3 linked regions of the Diceros bicornis minor genome follow. The protein of the gene in region 1 purifies or fractionates together with the protein of each later gene. This does not show direct contact. Links are inferred from orthologs where the notes say so. Each region holds a gene or a part of one and is shown on either strand. Other genes may lie near its edges.

What was found.
Region 2: the proteins of MTNR1A (region 1) and GNAI2 purify together in Homo sapiens (tandem affinity purification; 3 studies listed by BioGRID and IntAct, with this or other methods). This does not show direct contact. The link is inferred for Diceros bicornis minor from reciprocal best matches to the Homo sapiens genes MTNR1A and GNAI2.
Region 3: the proteins of MTNR1A (region 1) and GNAI3 purify together in Homo sapiens (tandem affinity purification; 3 studies listed by BioGRID and IntAct, with this or other methods). This does not show direct contact. The link is inferred for Diceros bicornis minor from reciprocal best matches to the Homo sapiens genes MTNR1A and GNAI3.

What each region holds. Positions count from the first base shown.
Region 1 is NC_080768.1:17,951,190-17,958,485, forward strand, and holds the start of MTNR1A (melatonin receptor type 1A), read right to left. Parts: upstream 3,008-7,296; 5' UTR 2,995-3,007; coding exon 2,766-2,994; intron 1-2,765.
Region 2 is NC_080741.1:51,277,791-51,285,737, reverse strand, and holds the start of GNAI2 (guanine nucleotide-binding protein G(i) subunit alpha-2), read right to left. Parts: upstream 3,074-7,947; 5' UTR 3,027-3,073; coding exon 2,909-3,026; intron 1-2,908. UniProt on the Homo sapiens protein: Guanine nucleotide-binding proteins (G proteins) are involved as modulators or transducers in various transmembrane signaling systems.
Region 3 is NC_080743.1:42,585,153-42,592,734, reverse strand, and holds the start of GNAI3 (guanine nucleotide-binding protein G(i) subunit alpha-3), read right to left. Parts: upstream 3,066-7,582; 5' UTR 2,964-3,065; coding exon 2,846-2,963; intron 1-2,845. UniProt on the Homo sapiens protein: Heterotrimeric guanine nucleotide-binding proteins (G proteins) function as transducers downstream of G protein-coupled receptors (GPCRs) in numerous signaling cascades.

The sequences.
Region 1 (7,296 bases):
TGAATAGGCAAAGTATTTTGTACTCTTGCTTTATTATTTTTATAAAAGTTTTATTGAAGTATAACGTACATATAGAAAAGTGCACAAATCATAAATCTACAGTTCAATTATTTTTAACAGACTGAACACACCCTTGTTAGGTGTACCTAGAAAAAAAACACATAACTTTACCTGCTTTATTCTTTTGAAAGTATTTCCATAAGCGTCATCTCACTAGGTAATGGCAACAATCGTGTGAGGCTAAAGGATGAGATACTTTCTGTATTTGACAGATGTGGAAAATGAGGGTTTGGTACCTTAACTAATTTCTCAAATCACAAGGTAGACAGCACAGATATTAATCCTAGCATTCCAGAGCAGGAATCTTCCCGTGACACTACGAAATTTACTCAGAAGATGCAAATACGGTAGATCAATTCTAGTATCAAATTGTGGACAGACGTAAGACCCTAGTGGTCATTTGGAGCCTGTGTCTGCTCTGAATGGCCAGTGTCCCTGACATACGGCTGTTAAACATTTTTAATTTCTTCCCTAGGAAGTCAAATGTCAATACACTCCTGAGGAAAGAAGGGGGTCATAAATAATTATACCAGATTCCAAGAGAAAGCACTAGTTCAAAACTTAAGATGACTTAGCGTTCTTATTTTTTTATCTCATTTCTTCCATTCTGTTCTTTCCATCTTTTCACCCTCAATGCCAACAAAATAAACTTAACTGAAATGGAAGGACTGAAAAACCATAAGAACTTTTAATAAGCATCCCCAAATTCAAATTCATATTTGGATCAGCTATCTCTATCACTGTTTCAAATTACCATCCATTCTAGAAAGCCTCCAATGGTTTGAATTGCAACAGTGGTACAACTAGCTGAATATAAAGTCCTAATTATAAAAATATGAAAGATCAAAAGCTACGCAGATTAAAGCTCACTATGGTCTCCCAGTCAGCTACAAGGATGCAGTATTTTATAGACTGCCCCATCAAAAAGTTGGTTAGCAAACGAACAAAATACAAAGTAGCGTGGAAGGAGCACTTTTCATAAGTTCTTTTTTTTACAAATTGCAAGAGGGCCGGCCCGTGGCTTAGCGGTTAAGTGCTCCGCTCCGCTACTGGCGGCCCGGGTTCAGATCCTGGGCGCGCACCAACGCACCGCTTCTCTGGCCATGCTGAGGCCACATCCCACATACAGCAACTAGAAGGATGTGCAACTATGACGTACAACTATCTACTGGGGCTTTGGGGAAGAAAAAAAAAGGAGGAGGATTGGCAATAGATGTTAGCTCAGAGCCGGTCTTCTTCAGCAAAAAGAGGAGGATTAGCATGGATGTTAGCTCAGGGCTGATCTTCCTCACAAAAAAAATAAAATAAAATAAAAATTGCAAGAAATACAATTGTTCCAGGCATGTGAATATCATTTTTTTAAATGAAAGGTTCTGCAGGATCTGAACTTCCCAAGAGCTGCAGTTGTTGAAGTCAATGAAGTAGAGTGCGCTCTCGATTAAACCTGCTCCACCACCTACGGTCGGTAAAACCAATCTGTGTCCTTGGATCGTAAAGTGGGTGACAGTGGCACCCCACTACAGGGCTGCCCCGAGGGTCCAGTTAACAGGCTCTCAGAACCGTGTCTGGCCCACAGAAAGCTGCTTTGATTGCTAGGAAGGAATGAGCCTCTTCTGGAAGGCAGAATTTCTCTAGTTTAAGCCAATCTATGAAGTGAGGTTATTCCACGGACTAACTCAAATTCAATTCATGTTATCAGGTCCTTATTAACTAATTCTTAAACTATGCACTGTCTCAAGCATTATGGAAAGCAAAAAGGAAGCCCTCCCAGAAAGAAGCTAACAAAATTACAGTGTTGACCAACTACCTGGTTGGAACAAAAACGATTGCTTTTGACAAACATGTAAGTGCATAGCTCCCTCCCCTCCCCACCCCCACCTCCAGAAAGTTTGCCTCCAAATAAGGAACTAGGCACCTAATCATCAAGTAGAGATCTGAGCGTCCAGTGTCCTGTGGACAAATCGCCCTCAGGCTCCCACTCATGATAAACCAATTTCAGTTCATTGCTTGGAAGAAAAAGGAAATTTAACTCAAGCGCTAAATTAGCTTTAGTAGTATATTACATGTAAACACACTCTTTACTAACTTGGAGAGATAATAGACACTTTCCAAAGCATGTTTAGGAGCCTACGGTTCTTTTCAAATTGTATGCTAAAAACTGAAAACCACTCCTGACAACAAAACTAAAATCATTGCGCTATCATTTTGCCAGCTTATATATTTTCTCATATTTTAACAAAGTTGGGGAAAATAAATTATATGTAAAACCAAGCAACTGATAAGTTCATTGATCTGATTTGAAACGCCTTCTTGAAGAACTTTCTGCAACCTGTACCCGTGTCTCCCAATCTAATAAACCTCAGAAATTGAAAACTGTACAGTGGGGCTGTCCCCTAAAATAAAGAGAACCTGACTCGGGCAAAGTTTTCTACCCCTTAGAAACTGAAGACGCCTTGCTGTTTTATGCAGAAACATCTTAAATGGGCAGGTTAAAGGAAAAGGAAACCGACGGGCTTCAGTCTCTGTTAGGAAAAATGACTCCAAATCCCCAGTATTTAAGGAAAAGAACTGAGCTTTTCTTAGGAAAAAGCCACTTGACAGCTGAGGGTGCTGCGTTCTGGAAAGGTGGCCAGACAAGGGAGAGGCTGCCGTCAGGGGAGAGTTGAGGCTGCACGTCCAGCCCGCCGGGCCCCGGGAGCCCCTACCTGCGTTCCTCAACTTCTTGTTCCGACACACGGCCAGGATGACCAGGAGGTTGCCCAGGATGTCGACCACGATGGTGAAGATGAGGATGCAGGCGAGCGTGGAGGCCAGCCACGAGGGTCGCGGCCACGTGCCCTCCCCGCCGCCGGGCGCCGGCTGAGAGGCGTTGAGCAGCGCGCACCCATTGCCCCTCAAGGTCCCGCCCGGCGCGCCCCAGGGCCACCCGGCCATCGCGCGGGCCCCGCAGGCGCCCGCCGCCCTGCCAGCGGCCCGAGCGCCGCGCGACCCCGCTCCGCCACTTCTAACGCCTCCTCCGCGCCCTCCGCGCGCCTAGCCTCACCCCAGCGCCCCTTCGCAGCCGCCCCGCGGCCGGACGCTGCACCTGCAGCCCCAGCCGGGTGACACCTGGCGCCCGCCTCCAGGTCCCCTTGACGGCGGGGCTGGCAGCCCCGTCCCGCACCACGTGCCGACAGCGCCCCCGTGCGGGCTGCCCGGGCCCAGCCGCTGCGCCCCAAGGGGGCAGGGAGCCCAGAGAAGGCTTTGCAGGGAACGTCGCCCTTCCTTCCGTCCCTCGTGTTTCCTCTCTGGGACATGTCACCAAGCAGGGCCAGTATGCGTGCGCTCGAACTCTACCTCGGATTGAGGCACGTCCGGTAGTCACCAGGTGTCCCAGTTTCCTTAGCTGTAAAATGGGGGTAAAAGAGTAGATAAATCGTCTACCTCCTAGATAGTAAGAGGTGAAAAAAAATCAAGGAACTTGCTCAGTCAGGTATTGCACCATTCTTGAAGCTCAAAACGTTTTCCCGGTTCCCCCCACCTCCACCCCACACACTGTAAAGGTCATCCATAATTTTGATCGTCTTTCCCCAAAAGCTACTTTTATTTTGCGACTTCTTGAACGCTGTCCTTAAAATTCCAAGTTCTCATCTATTTCTCCCTGCAGGTCTATTAGTTTTTGCCTCATGCATTTTGATGCTCTGTTATTAGTCAGGTGCATACATGTTAAGGATTATGTCTCCTTGGAGAATTGACCCCCTTATCATCATGTAATGCCCCTCTTTATCCCTCAACACTTTCCTTGCTCTAAAGTCTACTCTGTCTAAAATTAATATAGCTACTCCTGCTTCCTTTTGATTAGTGTTAGCATGGTATATCTTTCCTCATCCCTTTACTTTTAATATATATGTGTCTTTTTTATATTCAATGTGGATGTTTTGTAGACAACATATAGTTGGGTCTTGTTTTTTGATCCTCTCTGACAATCTCTGTCTTTTAATTGGTATATTTAGACCATTGATGTTTAAGGTGATTATTGATGTATTTGGATTAATATCTACTATATTCATTACAGTTTCTTATTTGTTGCCCTTGTTCTTTGTTCCTATTTTTGTCATCTGCTCTTTTCTGTCTTTTGTGGTTTTAACTGAGCATTTTATATGATTCCATTCTCTCTCCTTTCTTAGCATATCAGTTCTTCTTTTTTGACTTTTTTTAGTGTGTCCTAGAGTTTGCAATATACACTTACAACTAATCCAAGTCCACTTTCAAATAACAGTATCCTACTTCATGGGTAGTGCAAGAACCTTATAATAAAAAAAATACTCCTAATTTCTCCCTCTCATCCTTTGTATCATTGCTGTCATTCATTTCACTTATACGTAAGCATATATAAGCATGTATGTATACATAGCATACATAATCAAATACACTGTTGCTATTATTATTTTGAACTGTAAACTGTTAGGTCAATTAAGAATAAGAAAAATAAATGTTTTTATTTTACCTTCACTTATTCATTCTCAGATATTCTTCCTTTCTTTATGCAGATCCAAGTGGGTTTCTGACCTATATCATTTTCCTTTTCTCTAAAGAACTTCTTTTAACATTTCTTGTAAGGCAGGTCTACTGGCAATCAACTCCCTCAATTTTTGTTTGTCTGAAAAAGTATTTCTCCTTCACTTTTGAAGGATAATATTGCAGATTAAAGAATTCTAAGTTGGTGGAGTTTTTCTCTCAATGCTTTAAATATTTCACTTCACTCTCTTCTTGCTTGCATGATTTCTGAGAAGTCAGATGTAATTGTTATATTTGCTTCTCTATAGGTAGGGTGTTTTTTTATCCGACTTCTTTTTTCATCTTCAATTTTCTGTAGTTTGAATATAGTATGCTGTTGTTTTTTAATGGGTTTTTTTGGGCATTTATCCTGCTTCATGTTCTCTGAGCTTCCTGGATCTATGGTTTAGTGTCTGACATTAATTTGGGGAAATTCTCAGGCATTATTCCTTCAAATATTGCTTCTGTTTCTCTCTCTCTTCTTCATTACATGCATGTTATACTTCTTGTAATTGTCCCACAGTTCTTGGACATCCTGTTCTGTTTTTTTCAGGCTTTTTATTCTCTTTGCTTTTCCATTTTAGAAGTCTCTATTGTCATATCTGCAAGCTCAGAGATTCTTTCCTCAGCCATGTCCACTCTACGAATGAGCCCATCAAAGACAGTCTTCATTTTGATCTCTAGCATTTCTTTTCTATTCTTTCTTGGAATTTCCATCTCTCTGCTTACATTATCCATCTCTTCTTGCATGTTACCTAATTTTTCCATTCAAGCCCTTAGCATATGAGTCATAGTTTTAAAAAATTTCCTGTCTGAAAATTCCAACATTCCTGCTATCTTCCAGCTCTGGTTCCGATGCTCGTTCCCTTCCAACCGTATGTTTTGTCTCTTAGTATGTCTTGTAACTTTTTGTTCAAAGGCAGACATGATGTATTGGATATAAGGAAGTGTGGTCAACAGGCCTTTAGTAATGTAGTTGTAAGGTGTAGGAGGAGGGGAAGCGTTCTATTGTTCTACGATGAGGTTTCAGTCTTTTGGTGAGCCTGTGCCCTTAGACTGTGAACTTCACCAGTGCTTCTCAGTTCCCCCCACCTTTGGTGGGACAGGGTGGCTAGAGAGGATTGAGGTTATGTTTCCCTTCCCCCACGTGGAAGCCTAGAGCCAGCTGCAGTTGGAGTTGGATATTTCTTTTTCTCCAAGTAGGCTGGGCTTGGATAAAAACCCCAATAGCTTAGGCTCAGGTTAAAGAGTTTCTCCTGAGGGCAGACCTTGTTAAGAACAGAATGCTCTGGTGTTTTTTCAGAATAGTTCCTTTCCCCCTCACTTTGCTGGAAGCAGGAGGGGATTTTTCTGAGATATTCACTGTGAAGCCTGGTAGAGCTCCTGGAGGTAAACTCACGGATGTGTGGGAGGCCCTCCTATGACTGGGTCCTCCTGGAGTTTTTAACTCTCAAATTTGTCCACATTGAGCTTCTAGTAATTCGCCAGTTACAGTTCAAATTTTCCTACCCCAGCTGTGGGTTTCTGCTCTGCTAAGTTGTGATTCTCTGTATCCACCTGTCTGTCTCTCCAATTTTAGGGGCAGTGGTTTGCTGTGTGACCTCACTTTTTTTTTATGGACCTAGGAAAATTGGCTGATTTTTTCAGTTTGTTCAGATTTTTACTTGTTGTTAGGATAGAGTGGCAACTTCTAAGCCTCTTCTATGCCAGGAATAAATAGGTATCTTAAAAGAATAATTCTTCATGACCATATGGGGTTCATTCCAGGAACTCAAGGTTTGTAGAACATTAAAATATATTAGTATAAGTTATCACATTTGTGGATCCAAGGAGATAAACTACATGATCATCTTACTACAGGCAGAAATGGCATTAAAAAAAATTCCCTGTCCATTCCCAATTTTTTAAAGTTTCTATAAACTTTAAGAAGAAAAGAGTTGACACTATAAAGAATATTTCACAATAATGTCTATCTTAGACTTAAAAGAGAAATGCTAGTTATTCTCCTTTAATTTGAGAAGAGGGAATGCCTGCTAATATCACACCAATTTAACATTGTGCCAGATGTTTCTGATAATGAAATGAGATTAAAAGAGAAAAATGTAAAAATAAATATTTGCAGATAATAGGAGTGGGTGTACTTCCTTAAATTCCAGTGAAAATAAGATAGAATACATAATTAAATAGAAGATCTGATATATAACAGTAATCAGTGTAAAATTGCTAGGAAATGGCTTAACCAGCAGTCTGCAGGGCAATGTGGAAGAAAGACTCAAAACTTTGCTGAGAATGATGAAAGAAAACATAAATAAAGGGAGAGACATACTGTTTCTTTTTTTTTTTTTAATTTTTTGTTTATTGCAGTAACATTGGTTTATAACATTGTAAAAATTTCAGGTGTACATCATTGTACTTCTATTTCTGCATAGATTACATCATGTTCACCACCAAAATACTAATTACAACCCATCACCACACACATGTACCGAATTATCCCTTTCACCCTCCTCCCTCCCCCCTTCCCCTCTGGTAACCACCAATCCAATCTTTGTCCCTATGTGTTTGTTTATTGTTGTTATTATCTACTACTTAATGAAGGAAATCATGCGGTATTTGACCTTCTCCCTCTGACTTATTTCACTTTGCATTATACCCTCAATGTCCATCCATGATGTCACAAATGGCTGGATTTCATCGTTT
Region 2 (7,947 bases), on another chromosome or scaffold:
AGTTAGATGGAAATGGGAAAAGCACACCAAGTGGAGGGATAGATGCAAAGTCTCAGAGGCAGAAAGAACTGCTGTATCTACACCCGAAGCCTTCATGGGGCCAACAGTGGGCACTATCTCTCCTTTCTCTGTAGGCTGCCCAGAAAGCCCATCCCAAATCAGAAGACACTCCCCAAACATATGCTCTGGCTTTCTTTCCCCTAAGTGCCCAGCCCAAGGCCCCAGATTCCACCTGGGGATAGCTGGTCAGTCAAGTTGAACTTGGTAGAGGTTGGGGTATCCCTGGAACAGGGCTGGTATCAGAAACTCTGCTCCCCCCACCAAGCTGCCAGGAAAAACCCTCTCACCAGTGTGTACCACATCTGCCTCTGCCCCAGTGACAGTGACTGTACCTGCCCGCTGGCAAGGCTACCCAAGATGGGAAGGAACCAGTATGCGGGTGGGGCAGCAGGCGTGGTTCTGGCTGAGAGAGAAGGCTGGCAATTGCCCAGCCTGAGTCCCGTTGCCTCGACAGAGTCCTTTCTGCTACATGGGACAGGCACCCAGCATGCTGAAGCTGCTCCAGCAGCTCCATCACCTCTTTGTACCTGGATGGGAAACGGATAGCCAGCCACGACCCCTCCCCAGCCAGCCACAGCAAGTTGGGTCCTCAATTTCAGGCACAGCTTGGTCTCCCAGCCCCTTGCAGTGCACCCTCTGCAGGGTTTTAGCCCCCACCCCACACTCCCAACAGGAACCTCCACAAGGCCCCTATTCTTCCCATTCTGGGCCCAAGCACTCCTCTGGCCCAAACCCAGGAAGCCCATTTCACAGAGGAAGCACAGCCAGAGGAGCAGGATGCTGAGATGGACTCCCCAGCCTAGCAAATGCTGAGCCAGACCCTGCACCCCTGGTTGCTGCCAGCCCAGCATGGGAGGGGTTACCAGGCTCAAAACCTGAGCAGGGCTCCAAAGAGCAAGACTGATGGGATGCGGTAGGGACACAGAACAGGACAGGAGCTCTGTGTCCCCAAGCCCCATGGCACATTCCCATATCTCCTCAGCCGCTGCAGTCGGCCTGAGAGGGGGCTAGCTAGATGCTCCTGGCTGGGCACGGGGAGGCAGCAGTACCGGAAGCACCTTCTCCAGGCCCAGCGGGCAGCAGCGACGGGCATTCCACCGCGTCGACACCCACTCACTGCCGCTGCCGCACTCACAGCAGAGACAGGAAGAGGCAAGCGCCCAACGCAAAACAGCCCAGGAGGCTGGGCCGCCGCCCCTTCCCGCCCCTTCTCTTCCTCCCCGCAGCGGCGGTGAAGCGGATGCCATTTTGAAACCTCCAGGGCTGTGCCCCCGAAGCCAGGCCCCCAGGGACAGTCAACAGATGGGCCCATGATGGAAGACATGCTGTCCCTCGGCCATACGCCCAGCATGAAAAGCCCTGCTTTTCACAGCCTAGGGACCCCAGAGCAGCTCTGGGGCCAAGGGGCCACACCCCCCCACATACACTGTCCAGCCTTCCTCGCTGCTGTGAGGGCCTCCCGCCCCACAACCCTGAAACGCCCCCCAAGTCAGGCTGCCCCTGGGCACCACACTTGCTCCGAGTGGGAAACTGGACGGGAACAACTACATGGCCCAATCTTTGCAGAGGTCCACCACAGATGCCCACCCTCAGCTGGCTCCCCAACTCCTCATCCAGCTGGTCCACCACTCCCCCTTCACAGGGCCTCAAGACCCAACAGGCCCACTCACTCCCAGAGGCCATGTCCGAGACTTTTCGGCCTAGAAGGAGTGCGGGTAGCCCAGTACCCGTCAGCCGATCTCCTCCGCCCCGCCTGCCGGGGCAGCAATATGTCGGCTGTCTCACCACTTCCACTTCCCCCCACCTCTCAAGCATCCACCATCTTCCCTGGCCGTACAGGCGCCGCAACCCAAACTCCTCCACACTCCCTCCTACTCCCCAGACCACCTCCCTCTCACAGGCCCAGACAGGGCTTAGAAACTGAGAAACAGAGAGTCAGTGTACTCTCCCTGGGAAGTTTGAGGCCTGGCCCCCTCCCCCAGCATGACCCGTGGAGCCTCAGTCCAGCCCCTTAGGGGTCTGGGCCCCCTCCAACCAGCCCAGCCCAGCCCAGCCCACCCAGTGCAGGAGGGGTGGGGGAATCTGGGCAAGGCCAGAGTGTGGGAGAGGACTTAAGGGAGGGGGAGCAGAGGGTTTAAGGAGTGATGCCTGCAGAGAGGGACTTGGTGGGCCAGATGCAGAGAACAGGGGTCTCTAGAGGTTTGGGGGTTCCGGCTAGAGAGAGGGCTCATGAGCAGTCATGTTTACCCACTTGAGAGGTCCTTTGGAGTCAGGGTGCACAGGTGGAGGATATAGGGTCCAGAGTAGGGATGGGGCACAGAGGGGAAAGGAAGGAGTGGGTGGGGGCCTGGCAGGGGCCCTCGGGGATACTCATGCCCAATAGGAATAGGGGGAGCAGGTGGGGGAAACAGGTGGTGCCTGAGGGTAGGGGCCGCGTGGGGTCTAGGGGTTTGGGTAAAGTCTAGGGAGAGATGGAAGGACAAGGCAGGGGCTCTGAGGGTCTGTGAGTTGGTGAGCAAGGGTGGATGGTCAAGCAGGGTTCTGGGCAGCTGGTGTTGAGGACCTGGTGGCTGGGTTTGGGGTTTTACGGTCTGGGACGAGCTGAGGGTCTAGAGTCTGCGCTATGGATCAAAGGTCTAGGCCAACCCAGAGTTTTGAACCATTATTTGGGTGTTCTGGCCAGGCCGGGTCCGGGGATTCAAATCCAGGTGTGGGAGTTCACGCCGAGTCTGGAAGTTCGAAGCCGTAGTCTGGAGGTCTAAGTCCTTGTCTGGGGATTTAGGCGGGGAGTGTGTGTGTGGCGGGGGGGGGGGGGGGGGGGGGGTCCCAACGCTGGGCGTGGCCTCACCCAACAGCAGCAACTTCACCTCCCGCGCCGCCTTCTCGCCGTCTTCCCGCAGATTCTTGTCGATCATCTTGGAGCGCTCGGCCGCCGCCTTGTCCTCAGCGCTCACAGTGCAGCCCATCCCGCCGTCCGCCGGCCCGGCCGCCGCCCGGCCCCCACACGGCCCCCGGCCCGGCTCGGCCCCGCCCGACCCACTCCGCTCCCGCCGCCGGCCCTCTACGGGTAGCTCTCGGGTCGGCAGTCCCGAGCGTCTGCGGGCGGTGCCTTCCAGGCCTCCGCGCACCGACGGCTGGGCGGGCCGCGGGTGGAGCCGGAGCGAGCCAGGCCCTGGACTGGGCCGGGGCGGGTCCGGAGGCGGGGCCATAGGGGATCCGGGGCAGGTGATTGGCTCGAGGGCGGAGCGAAGGAGAAGTTAGGCGCTGCTCAGGCTCGGGCCGGGGCTGGAGGCGGAGCCACGCGAGGGATAGCTGTAGGGGTAGAGCCAAGCTCAGAGGGATTGGGCTCCGAGCCGGCTGCAGGCGGGGCCGGGCTCCGATTGGGTGTGGAGCGCCTGGAGCTCAGCGGCCCACGGCGGGGGCGGGAGATCTCGTAGCCGGAGGGTGGGGATCCGGTGCACCTCGCGGCCAGAGCAGGAACCAGTCCTCTGTACTTGTTAGTTGGGCGAGCTGGGTGGAGGAGGCGTGTCTTCGTCACTTGTTAAAGTTAATGAACCCAATAAACTTGTTTCGGGATCTGCAGAGGGCCAGAGCCTCTCTGGACTGGGGCTTGCTCCGTCTTAAGGCAGGTTTGTCACCTTCTCTCTCTGGATTGCAATATTAAAAAAAAAAGTCTCTTACCACCTCTAGTCTGTCTCCCTCAGCTGGGGTGCCTTCTCTAGTCATCCAAGGCTTATCCATCCTTCTCTGATCTTCTAGGAGGCATCCCCCTGCAGGTAGCCATCTTGGATTTCAGTCTGGGACCTGGCAACCAGGACCCAAGAGAGAAGGAGACAGAGAGAATGAGAGAGAGAGAGACAGAGAGAGGGAGGAGAGGGAGAGGGATATGCCGCCTGACTTTTGGAAACATAAGTGGCCATGATCTTATGGCCTGTCCCCACTGGATAGTGGCTGCAACCCTATGGCTGGTGGGGTGGAGGCAGCAGTGTTTTTAGCAGAACATTTCAGTCTTTCTAATCCTGTTCTCCAGGAGGAGTCCACAGCCCCAACCTCCGATGGATATTTGAAGGGTCTGCCAAGGGTTACCCAGGAAGGTGTCCTGTGTGGCCCCAGTAACATGAACCAGGGAGGCCTCGGCCCAAAGACAAGGAAGTTCCACAAAGCCAGGAGGGGAGCTGGCCACCAATGCTTGGCCACCCACAGCCCCATTCAGCACAGACTCCCTCCTTACCACACTGGCACACATCTTGTTTCAGCTCCCCAGTCCTCAGGCTGTCTGCTCTCCCTGCAGTATCTGTGTATCCTATCTGAATGGCTCCCTTATTGAGGAGCCATTGCCCTGTAAGTCCCCCAGTGGTGCCCCCATGGCTCCCTCCTGCCTGGAGCCAAAGCTCAAGCAGGCCCTGCCACAAGCATGTAGCGAGCATAGTGAAAACACATACTGCCCACCTGGGACACAGACACTCAGAGATATGCTCTATCCATACATAGGCCCAGCCTCCAACATGCCTCAGATCCATAGAACACACTGTAAAAATGGGTGCACATAGCCAAGAACACAGCCTGTCCACACAGAGACTACAAACGCAGCTCCAAGGCGGGCCTCTTTCCCCACCAGCCCCAGCCTGTGCTTGATCCTCCCTCCTTGGGCCTCCCCAGCCTGCTCCTAGCAACAGCCAACAGCTCTTGCAGTTGCTGGGCAACAAGAGAACCTGTCAGCCCCTTGGAGGCCAGGCTCACCAGCGGTAGGAAGACACAAACCCCAATCAATGGAGGCAGGGCAGAATGGGGCCACTGGGAGGCATGGCCTCCCCCAGCCCCAGGCCAGGTAGTGTGGTCCTTGCACCCTTCCCACCAGTTAGCCACTCCCTGCTAGTTACATGTTCTTCCTAGCGAGTCCAGCCCTCCCTGCTTCCATGCCTCTTGCTGCTCCATCTCCATGGGGGTCCCCGGGGCTAAGGCTAGGCCTCTGATTGCTACTCCAGTCACAAACCTCCCACTCCAGGGGCTCAGAACCCCACACATGGTCATCTCTAGCCCAACTTCTCCCCTGATTGCCAGCCCCACGTCCACCACTACTCTGAAGCCTCCACCAGACACTTCCGGCACCCTCAGTGGCCCCTACTCCTGGGCTCTCCACTTTGTGGCCTCTCACCAGCCAGAGCCATGACCCTCCCTCCCATCCTGTCAGTTCCTTCCCCTCCTCAATTCCCCCTCAAATGCATCCCATTTTCCATCCCCACTTTCCCTTCCTTATTCTAGGCCTCCAGCCTCCTCCCTGGCTCTCCCATTTCCCCTATAATCCATCCTCTACTAGGCAGCCAAGGGGATCTTGCTGAAAGAAATCACAATACTCTCTTGATCATAAACCTTCTGTGGCTCCCCAATGTCCTGAGGATAAAGCCCACACACACTGCTTTGAACTGTGCAGGAGGCAAAAGTGGTAGAGTGCTGGTTGATGGCAAGGACTCTGGGGAGCAGTCTGCAAATTTGCCACCTGCATATTACTTTGAAAGAGTACGAGAAACTCCCTGTGCCTCAGTTTTCTTAGCAGTAAAATGGGCCTAACAGTAATATCTAGCCACTAACGCACCAGCTGAGGTCAGGACCAAGAGAAGAAATGCAGGTAAAATGTTCAGAATGTGCATGGCGCATGGAAAGCCCTCAACAGGGGTGAATGAGTTGTTATAATAGCAATTTCTGCAAGGCCCTGTAGGGGCTGTCACCACCCAAGGTCCACCTCATCTCCCTCCACTTACCATACACAGGAGCACTCCAGCCGTGACTTGCCTTGCTCTCCTCATCCTCTTGTTCCTCCCCCACCCCCATCCCTTCTCCCCATCTTTCATTCCCTGCCTGTGAGCATTCCCTCTCTGACCCCCATTGTCTTGGGGCTTCCCCCTCCCTAGCCAGATCCCACTGACCTGGTGGTGAGTCTCTCCCCTCCTGGGTCTCTGATTCTAGACCCCTGGCAGCATAATTCTTGAGGGTGGCAGGTAAATATTTGTCAAATTAAATGAATGAATAACATAAACTCTACCCCGCCCTTCTAGGGGTCCCCCATCCTGGAGTTGGGAGAGGTGTAAACAAGGAATCCTGCTGCCATTAAAAAAACATCCGCCAAGGTTATGTGTGCACAGAAGGGAGAAACTAACGGTGCCTGGGAAGGTCAGGGAGCCTTCCTGGTGGAGGTGATGTGGGGAGTGCTGGATGGGGAAAAGCACTGAGGGGGAAGGTTGCAGGAAGAGGGAACAGGGAGGTGGGACCGGGAGGGTGGATTTGGTGAAGGGCCAGAGAGAAAATCAAGGATCAGAGCTGGAGACACTGCTTGCTTTGCAGCTGAGGCAACTGAGGCCCAGAGGGGCCAGGACCCATCCACAGTCATCCAATAAAGGATATCACAGGCATCCTGCTTCCTTCACACTTGGGAACCCAGGAGTCCTTTTGAGACGTTGTTTTTGGGGACAGGGGATGGCTGCCTAGCCAGGGCCTCATGGGCACCAGAGGAGGCATGACTTGTCCCTGTGCACACTGGTCCAGCATCACCTGGACTAGACCATAACAGACAAAGAAATGACATCCAGCAGAACTGAGGGCTGCACCACAGCTGGAATGGAGAAGTGGCAGCTGTCAGCTCACCAGGACAGCCAGAATAGCCTTGAGGCTCACCACAGGCAACAGGGCAGGTCCAGCTTGTCCTGAGTTCCTGTGTGCACCAGGCTAAGCAGGGTGAGGAATGGAGACCCCCTCAGTGGGCTGTGACACTCCAGCCCACAGGCTCCAGGAAGGGGAAGCTGCCAGCACTTCCCCAAAGGCAGTTTTGGGGTGGGTGTGTCTGCCCCCACCCAGAGTCCAGGAAGAGGCAGGACCCCACAGGGATACTCAGAGTCCAGGATCCTGACCACCCCACCTCCATGGCTCCCAGGAGGCAGGGAGTCCCTGGCAAGACCCTGTGACCACCAAATCACAGCCTTGCAGATGGCCTCAGCAGCTTCTGCTTGTAGATCTCAGTGGCCAGAGCTGGCTCCCTCCCTGCAGCCCTGAGCCAGGCTCCACCTCCTGGTACATCCCCAGCACTTCCCCCTTCCTACTTCTTAGCCCAGCAGCAGTTCTGAGATTGGAGTCGGCTACCCTACTCTCTCTGCTCCTTCCTTCCAAATCTCTCTTCCCAAGCTTTTCTTTCCCTGGAAGGAACAGTTTCAAACCTAGGGGGTCTTGGGGTCCAGGGTCCCCCTTCCTGTTCATCCACCTCCTTCAGAGACAATAGGCTTTGGTCTGGAAAACTCAGGCCCCAGCACTCCTTGCTAGAAGTTTCTGGATGGGATAGTGGGCTCCACCTGACACAGGGGCCGGAGGATCTGGGAGGAGGAGTTATCTGTTCAACTACTACTTGCTGTGAACCTACAGCAAATAGGTTCAGAAGAAGGGGGACCTGTCCTCAGCACAGTGGCACACTGTGCTGAGAACCCTAGGGTGAGGGAGGCAGCTAGGACCCTGTTCCCCAGGAGCACATGCCAAACAAGTAAACAGGCAAATGAATTCCAGTTTCTGAGGAAATCAACGGGGTGACCTGAGAGCCACTGGGAGGTGTATGTAGGAGGGAACAGTCTGAAGACAGGACCTTTAAATGACAAGAAGTGGGGGGCCTGCCAGGTGCCACAGCGGTTAAGTGCACGCGCACTCTGCTTCCTATGGCCTGGGGTTCGCAGGTTCGCAGGTTCGGATCCCAGGCACGCACCACTTGTCAAGCCATGCTGTGGCGGCGTCCCATATAATGTAGAGGAAGATGGGCACGGATGTTAGCCCAGGGCCAGTCTTCCTCAACAAAAAGAGGAGGATTGGCATCGGATATTAGCTCAGGGCTAATCTTCCTCACACACACACACA
Region 3 (7,582 bases), on another chromosome or scaffold:
CCTCCTTTTGCTGAGGAAGATTGGCCCTGGGCTAATACCGGTGCCCATCTTCCTCTACTTTATATGGGACGCCACCACAGCATGGCTTGACACGTGGTAGGTTGGTCCACGCCTGGGATCCGAACCTGTGAACCCCAGGCCCCAGAAGCTGTGTGCCCGCACTTAACCACTACGCCACCGGGCTGGCCCCAGAATCTGTAACGTTCATTTTGATTTAATAATAACAATAATAGTTAATATTCATTGAGCTAATACTACGTGCCAGGCTGTGTTCTACTTTATTATCATATTTAATCCTCACAGCAATCCTATGAAAGTACCTTTATTTTCTCCATTTTGAAGATGAGGAAACCGAGGCAGAGAAAAACTGAGTAAATAACTTTCCCAAGGTTATAGCTGATAAATGAGAATTAGAATGTAAAACAGTCTGACTTCAGAACCCATATGGTTAATCATTATGCCATACTACATCCCTGCAAGGAAGAAAATACAGTAAGATTTAATGAACACCTATTACGTGCCAGGAGAGACAAGGGTAAGTAAACAGTTCTCAACTTAGACTAAGTTTGATAGTTTCAGTGATGAAGTAAAAATGACTTACATATACATCAAAAGGGGTATTCTACAGCAAAAAAAAAATTACTTACATACTGTGATGTATGCATTTTGCTTATAGAAAAAGGAAGATAATTTTAATTTCATATGTGCATTATGATATGGTTCAAGCAAGAGCATCTGTCTCTGCAACCTATTTGAAGCTGTTGATTTAACTTGCTCAAGAACATAAAAAAATCTTTCTTAAAACAACGAAATTGATAACAATTAAAAGCAAATGCTTTAGTACTTGGATTTTTACTTACTGCTTTTGAAGTTCCCCAGGTCATCATGTGTTTAATTTTGTTTTTAATTAAATGCACTACTTAAAAAGTCCTGAACAAAGATTTTTCTAGACATTTGGACAAGTTCTGCTTGTATAGGTTCTGCCAGCCAAATCCCGCCATTTGGAAGAAAGCCTCACAGTTTACAACTATATTACAATAGGCTAATGTCCTGAGGGGATCTCTGACAGTCAATGTAAATCAAAACACTCACAAAGGATGAAAACATACCTTCAATTTCATAACCAATCTCAATATAGACAATGCTAATGCCTTGAGTACATATTATGGTTTACATCAAACATCTGAAAGCCCCCAAAGAGCAACATCCAACATTAGCCGGCTCATGCTGGTTGACAGTCAATATTTAAGGAGCATCTACTACGTGCCAGGGACCATGCTCATCCACAAATGATACCTGCTACATAGAGAGTGGCAATCTAGAACTACAATTTAAATTCATGCATTCTGAAAGATCATGTATTCAAACTGGAGCCCAAGCTCCAATACATAACCTTCCCCCTATATCCAAAAAGCTGTTACCAGGGTTTCTGCAATCTACAAACCACCAAACATGTTATCATGAAGAGACTAGCACAGGCACCCCACACATCCTGGAGTACAAGATAAGTCTTGGGTTATGGTGGCACATTCTGTCCTCTGGAGTTTTACACCATGAAAATCTAGCACTTCTCCTAAAGTGACTTCTTTTTCTCAAAAGTCAATTGTTCTAAAAAGTAAAGTTCTATTGCTTGCAGAAACCATTTACTCCTACTTATTCTCCTCTAAAGATCCCTAGAAAATACTCATAGTAAAGAAATGTGGCTTGATTTATTTATTGGTAAGTGGATGCCTAGGTACTTTACATGATTAACTGAGCCTCCAGAAGCCAGTCTCACAAAAATTTTAAAACTAATCATGCTGAGTAAAATGCATCTGACTGTACGTAAAAGCTACTTAAAACAAATGTCAGGTAAAAAAAATAGTAATTCCTAAAGCCAATGTTTTTAGTTTGAAGAGACCAAAAAAGATAAAACAGTTCACCAGAAGTCTGTCACAGCTTTTAAAGTAAATATGTCCAATTCCATAATTTATCCTAAGATAACTCCATTTCCACAGCACATCATCCCTAGCAACTATTCAGCAACTCCCAATATGTAATCTATTGTCCACTACGCCTTTTGCCACAAACCTCAAACAAGCCAGTTCTCAAATTTCCTCAACTCACACCATCTCCTCCTTTATAAAAACAAGGGAAGGCATTACAAAACTTTAAGAGAACAAAAATTACAGAAACAGCTGGAAAAGTACAGACAGCCTCTGCACCCAAGCTCTTTTCCTTTATACATGAGAACGTGTCATTATCTCAACCACACACTTGCATGTTCCTGGAAAATCCAGGGTTCCTCCAGCTCACCCAGAGTTCAAAATGCCCACTCTCTAATAAATGACAGGGTCCTTATGTGACCACTCTGTCTCAGCCCCTCTCTCTATTTACATTAATCATCCAAGCCTCCCAGCTCTATCCTGTCATAAAGTAGCACTACGCTCCAAACTCAAAAGCCATTATACAAGCCCAACACACTACCCCGTCCTGCTTGCTACCAACGCACTCCAACCCCTTGCAAAACCGTCCCTAATATCGGCTTTTCCTTTATGAGCTTTTCCCATATTCCTAACACAGTCTCAACGTCCTACTGCCCCACGCTGCCAAGCTCTCTTCGGTAAACACAATTTCAGCACAGAGTCACACCCTCTCTCCAGCCTAATTCCTACAACCCCAAAACCCCACCTCCTCATGACGCCCTCCGGGGCCTCAGCCACCTACCCAACACCCCGCCCCATGCCCGTCACGCCCTCCAGATCCCTGCGGGGTCCTTTCCGCCAGCCCGGCCTGACCCCGCTCTGGGCTCCCAAGTGCCTAGGCCCTCGCGATGACCCCGCCAGCCCCGCCCCCAGCCCCTCACCGAGTAGCAGGAGCTTCACTTCTTTGGCCGCTTTCTCCCCGTCCTCCCGCAAGTTGCGGTCGATCATCTTGCTCCGCTCCACCGCCGCCTTGTCTTCGGCGCTCAACGTGCAGCCCATGGCGGCGGCGGGAGAGGGGACCGGGCCCGGACTCACTCACACCCCGCAGAAACCGCAGCTCGGCTGGCTAACACAGAGCCTACTACTGGGCGGCGGCCCTCTCCGTCAGCTTTCGGAGCTCCCGGAGGAACCGGATATCCGGTGTTTACGACACTTCCGGAAACGCCCCTCGGCCGTTACTGCTTGAACCTCTCTAGGTGGGGTAGAGGAGGCGCGAGAGGAAGCGGAAGTACGGGGAGAGGGACGGTGAGGTTCAGCCGCAGTGCCGTGGGTAGCCAGGTCATGTCGAGCTCGACCTTAGTCCCCTTTCACCTTTTCGGCTGCTGTATTTGAATAACTGTAGAAAAACCAGGGACTGCCTTCTCCAGTTCATGACCCCCTCCCGAGGTCGTGAGTGGCGAGGTCGTGAGTGGGAGGAATTCCCAAATAATAGCCCACAGCCCGCGCGGGAATTTCTGCTGGGAATTTCTCACTGGCGAGAAAGCCCCTTTGATCTCTAACGTTAGAGACCCGTGGCCCCTGCCCAAGTGTAGGACAGTTCCTCTGCCGGGGCCATTTCAGGCAGATCTCTGGGATGGGAACAAACTCCAAAGCCTGGGCCCCGGCCACGCTTCGCATCTGAGATCTGTAAGACCATGCCTAGGACTTCAGATCCCTTTCTGCCTTCTCTAGCCCACTGCCTCCTGCTCTCAAAATGGACCCTGGTCCTCGGGCCGTTTCATACGAATTTCTGTGGGCTTTAGAGGTGCCTAGCTACTGTGTTGGCAAAGGGCCACTTGAAATCGCTAGCGTACTCGATTATCTGAAAGGGAAGCGTGTAGTTCCTCCATAAAGTTTCCATGCTGCCTTTCTCCGATATAAGGCAGTTTGGGCGCTTACAGATTGTACTGCGTTAGGGTCTTAGGATTCGTACCAAGGTTAGTCAACCCCTGACCCACACCTCAAAACAAACCAGTGCATCCTGTGAATCTCCTAATAAAATTTCCTTTTGTGATAGCCAAAAAGGGAAGTTCTAGTAGAATTTGCCTCTCAGCTGTAGCATCACCTGAAAATTAATAAATCCCCCATAAAAGCCCCAGACTGATAACCTTTTTCACTTATAATCCTGGGTACTACCATGAAGGTGGCCCTAAATTACCTTGACTGCCACATAGCCCCACAAATACTCTCACTATACGTTCTAGGGAGGGTACCTCTTGTAGCCCCCAAAACCTTTCCCTGTGATTAAAAGTTGTTTCCCCAGGCTGGCCCCATGGCGTAGCGGTTAAGTGCGCACGCTCAGCTGCTGGCCGCCCAGGTTTGCATCCCTGGTGTGCACCAATGCACTGCTTGTCAGGCCATGTTGTGGCAGCATCCCATATAAAGTGGAGGAAGATAGGCACAGATGTTAGCCCAGGGCCAGTCTTCCTCAGCAAAAAGAGGAGGATTGGCATGGGTGTTAGCTCAGGGCTGATCTTCCTCACACACACAAAAAAATTATTTCCCTAATAGAATCTAAACCTTAGAATGTAAAGTCGCAACAGAAAGGTGTGTAAGGTGATGATTCATTAATTAGATTTCTTGAGAGCCACCTTAAACAGCCTCATCCACCATAATTTATCAATGCCCTTTCTTCAAAGTTTGAAAAGTCTACTCATTCCCAAACCTGTTAGAATAGAAGGGACTTCTTTCCCATAATCAATACTTGTGGGGGAAAAAGGGCAAGAGGAAAGGGAAGAAAAACCAATATTTATTGAGTTCCTATTTGCCAGGTATGGCTAGATGCTTCCACGTGTCATCTCTTAATCCTCACAACAACCCTGTGAGGTAGGTAATGTTATCCCCATTTTTACAGATGAGGAAATAGGCTCAGAGAAATTAAGCATCTTTCCCAAGTTCACACAGTGAGTAAGTGGATCTGACTCCAAATTCACCCCTTTTCTACCATTCCACTTTAAGATGTTACCTGGGGAGACCTGACAACAGAAGGTTTTCATCTAGGATTGAAAGTTACCCCAGCACCACTAGGGTGCAGCAAAAAGTGATGGAACGGTTGTCTCAACCTGTTGATTCTTCAGTGGATGAGAGAGGTCAAAATTTGTCCAGGAACAGCTTTCACAGCTAAGGATTACATCTTGAACTTTACCAAGCAATCCTGGTAACTAGAAAACTCCTGGAAGGTGGTCATGACAGAAATTGTTGGGAAAGTTCTCAGCATAATAAAAAAGAAATTTTTATTTCCTTCATGATCCACTCAGGGAAAAAGAAAGGGCAAATGAACCAGCGTATGTCAAATTCTGTAATAAACTCCAGTGAGATCACAGTGTCAGGAAATTTCAGCCTGAATTAGAGATATCCTTGCACTTAAAATTTTCTTCTTTGATGTATGTGAAGGAAGGGTTGGAGGGCAAAGTCAAAGGAAAAGGCAAAATAAATTAACAAAATGGCTGCCAGGCAATGTTTAGAGCCCCCACCCCACGAACCGCACCTTTTCTGTTTCCGCTGGACTCACACTGCCACCTGCTGGCAATGCTTAGGCCGTACTAGCTGATCAATGATGTTTGGAAGAAGAGTTCTCCCCCTGTTCAGGAATGAGATTCCTCTCTTATGAGTGTATCTTAAAAGGGAGGAGAGAGTATGTTTTTCAATCACAAGAGACTCTCCTCAGTGTATACTATCCAAGGGATTTCCTCAATGTAATAGGCCTTAGACTAGAGTAAGTCTAGGAGTAGGAAGACAGACACCTGGAAATTTTCCTAGATCTGAAGGGGGAAAGCTATTTGCCCAAGTTTCATTTAATAAATTGTTTTTCTTCAACTAGAGTTTCATTTACAACCCTCATACTTTTCACAATCTGCAGGAAGCCTCCATGTACGTATCTTGCTGCAATGGACTGAACTCTCAGAAGTGAGAACCAAGAGCATATTCTCCAATATATTTCTCAAATACATTCTGTACTGCTTTACCAGATGTAAAAATACAAGGTACCTGATCAAATTAGACTATGAACTCCTTGAAGGCAGTGACTCTACATCCTCTGTGTGAGTGCCAGAGAATATTGGGTATTCAACTATTATGCACTGAATTGAACTGAAGGAGTCAATGTTGATATCAGTATAACTTTTTATAATAAAAATTATTTATTGGCTGTTCAAAGGGAATCTATCCCACTCCCACCAGCACATCTTCCCCTTAGATGCTCGATGAGCCAGGAATTTGTTTAAATACAGACCACACCACCCTCTGGTCCTACCTTAACCCTTTAATGTCACCTGATTCAATTGAGGGAAGTGGGATGGACAGGTAGTCCCAGATGGATGTCCTGTCTAGTTTGCAATTATTCCCCTTCCCTTGAAAATACCACCACCGATACCAACCAACACAGTTCCTACAGTCTCAATCAGTGAACAGCTGAGCCCAACTCCTGTGCCCTGTCTCCAACCCAGGGCTGCAGATAGGAGAGAGATTAAGTCTTTGTCACTGAAGCTAATTTTGAGAGCGATGAATGGGAGTAGGGAGGCATTTAATGAACCATGGAAACCCCACCTTTCCCATTCCCAACCTTAGTCTCTTGTACCCGATTGTCCAGGGGGCTGGAGGTGGGTCACTGCCATGAGGAGAGAGATCAGGAAGGCCAGTCCTAGGGAGAAAAAAAAAAAGATTTATAGTATTACTGGTCAGGGTGATTGCCTGGCCTGTCTGTATCCAACCACCTTAGCAATTTAAATGATATCAGTATAACTTTTTATAATAAAAAAAGTTATCTTCAGCCCCCAATCTTTCCACTTCTTCATCCTAAAAGACAAGGAGAAAGAGCCATCCAGTCTTAGTCTTGCTTCTGCTGAGATCAAGCTTGAGGGCGGAAGACAGAGAGCTGTAGTCAACTTTCCTGTCTTCTACTCGATGCACACTGATTGCTATTTCCTCCTGCTTCTGGTCAAACTCAGGAGAGGAATATACCTAGTCCTCTCACTTTAAGGAAACCTCAGGTCTAAAACTAAAAAAAAGATCTATTAACTCAAATGGAAACACTTGGCTATAATTTAGTTCTTGTTAAACCTAGCAAGGAAATGAGAAGACATGGGTCATTTTCTTACCTTGCTTGGGTGCAATGATTTCCCTGGACAATTATACTGAAAAAGGAAATATCCTAAAGGGCCCCGGAATAACTCCAAACCTGGCCTGCTGCCCTGTATCCTCCAGCTCCTACCCTTAGAGAGTTTCCCTGCTTCCTGAGGCGTGGAAAGTTCACTGGTTGAAAGGCATCATCTCACCTTCGTGACCCGTTACTCTCGTCACCATCTCACCAGGTTCCCTCCCCCAGTAGTCAAGCATCACAGCCATGTCCAAGGCTTTTGCCACATGTCCATCTTGTTGGCTCTGTTCCTGACCCAAAAAACACTAAGCAAAAGCTGTGTGCAGAGACCCCAGCCCCAGCCCCAGCTAGCTGGGAATAGGTGATCCCACATGGTGTTCCATAACTGGCCCTCAGCCCCATCTCCCTCCAAGTGTCCAGCAGCCCATCATGATTCCGGTCGAGGTGAGGGAGCAGGACGGAGGTAGCTGTCCGACATGATGATGTCGCTGGTGAGTTGTTGCTCCAGGAACTCAGAGGTCTCCTCAGCTATCTGGCCTGGAAT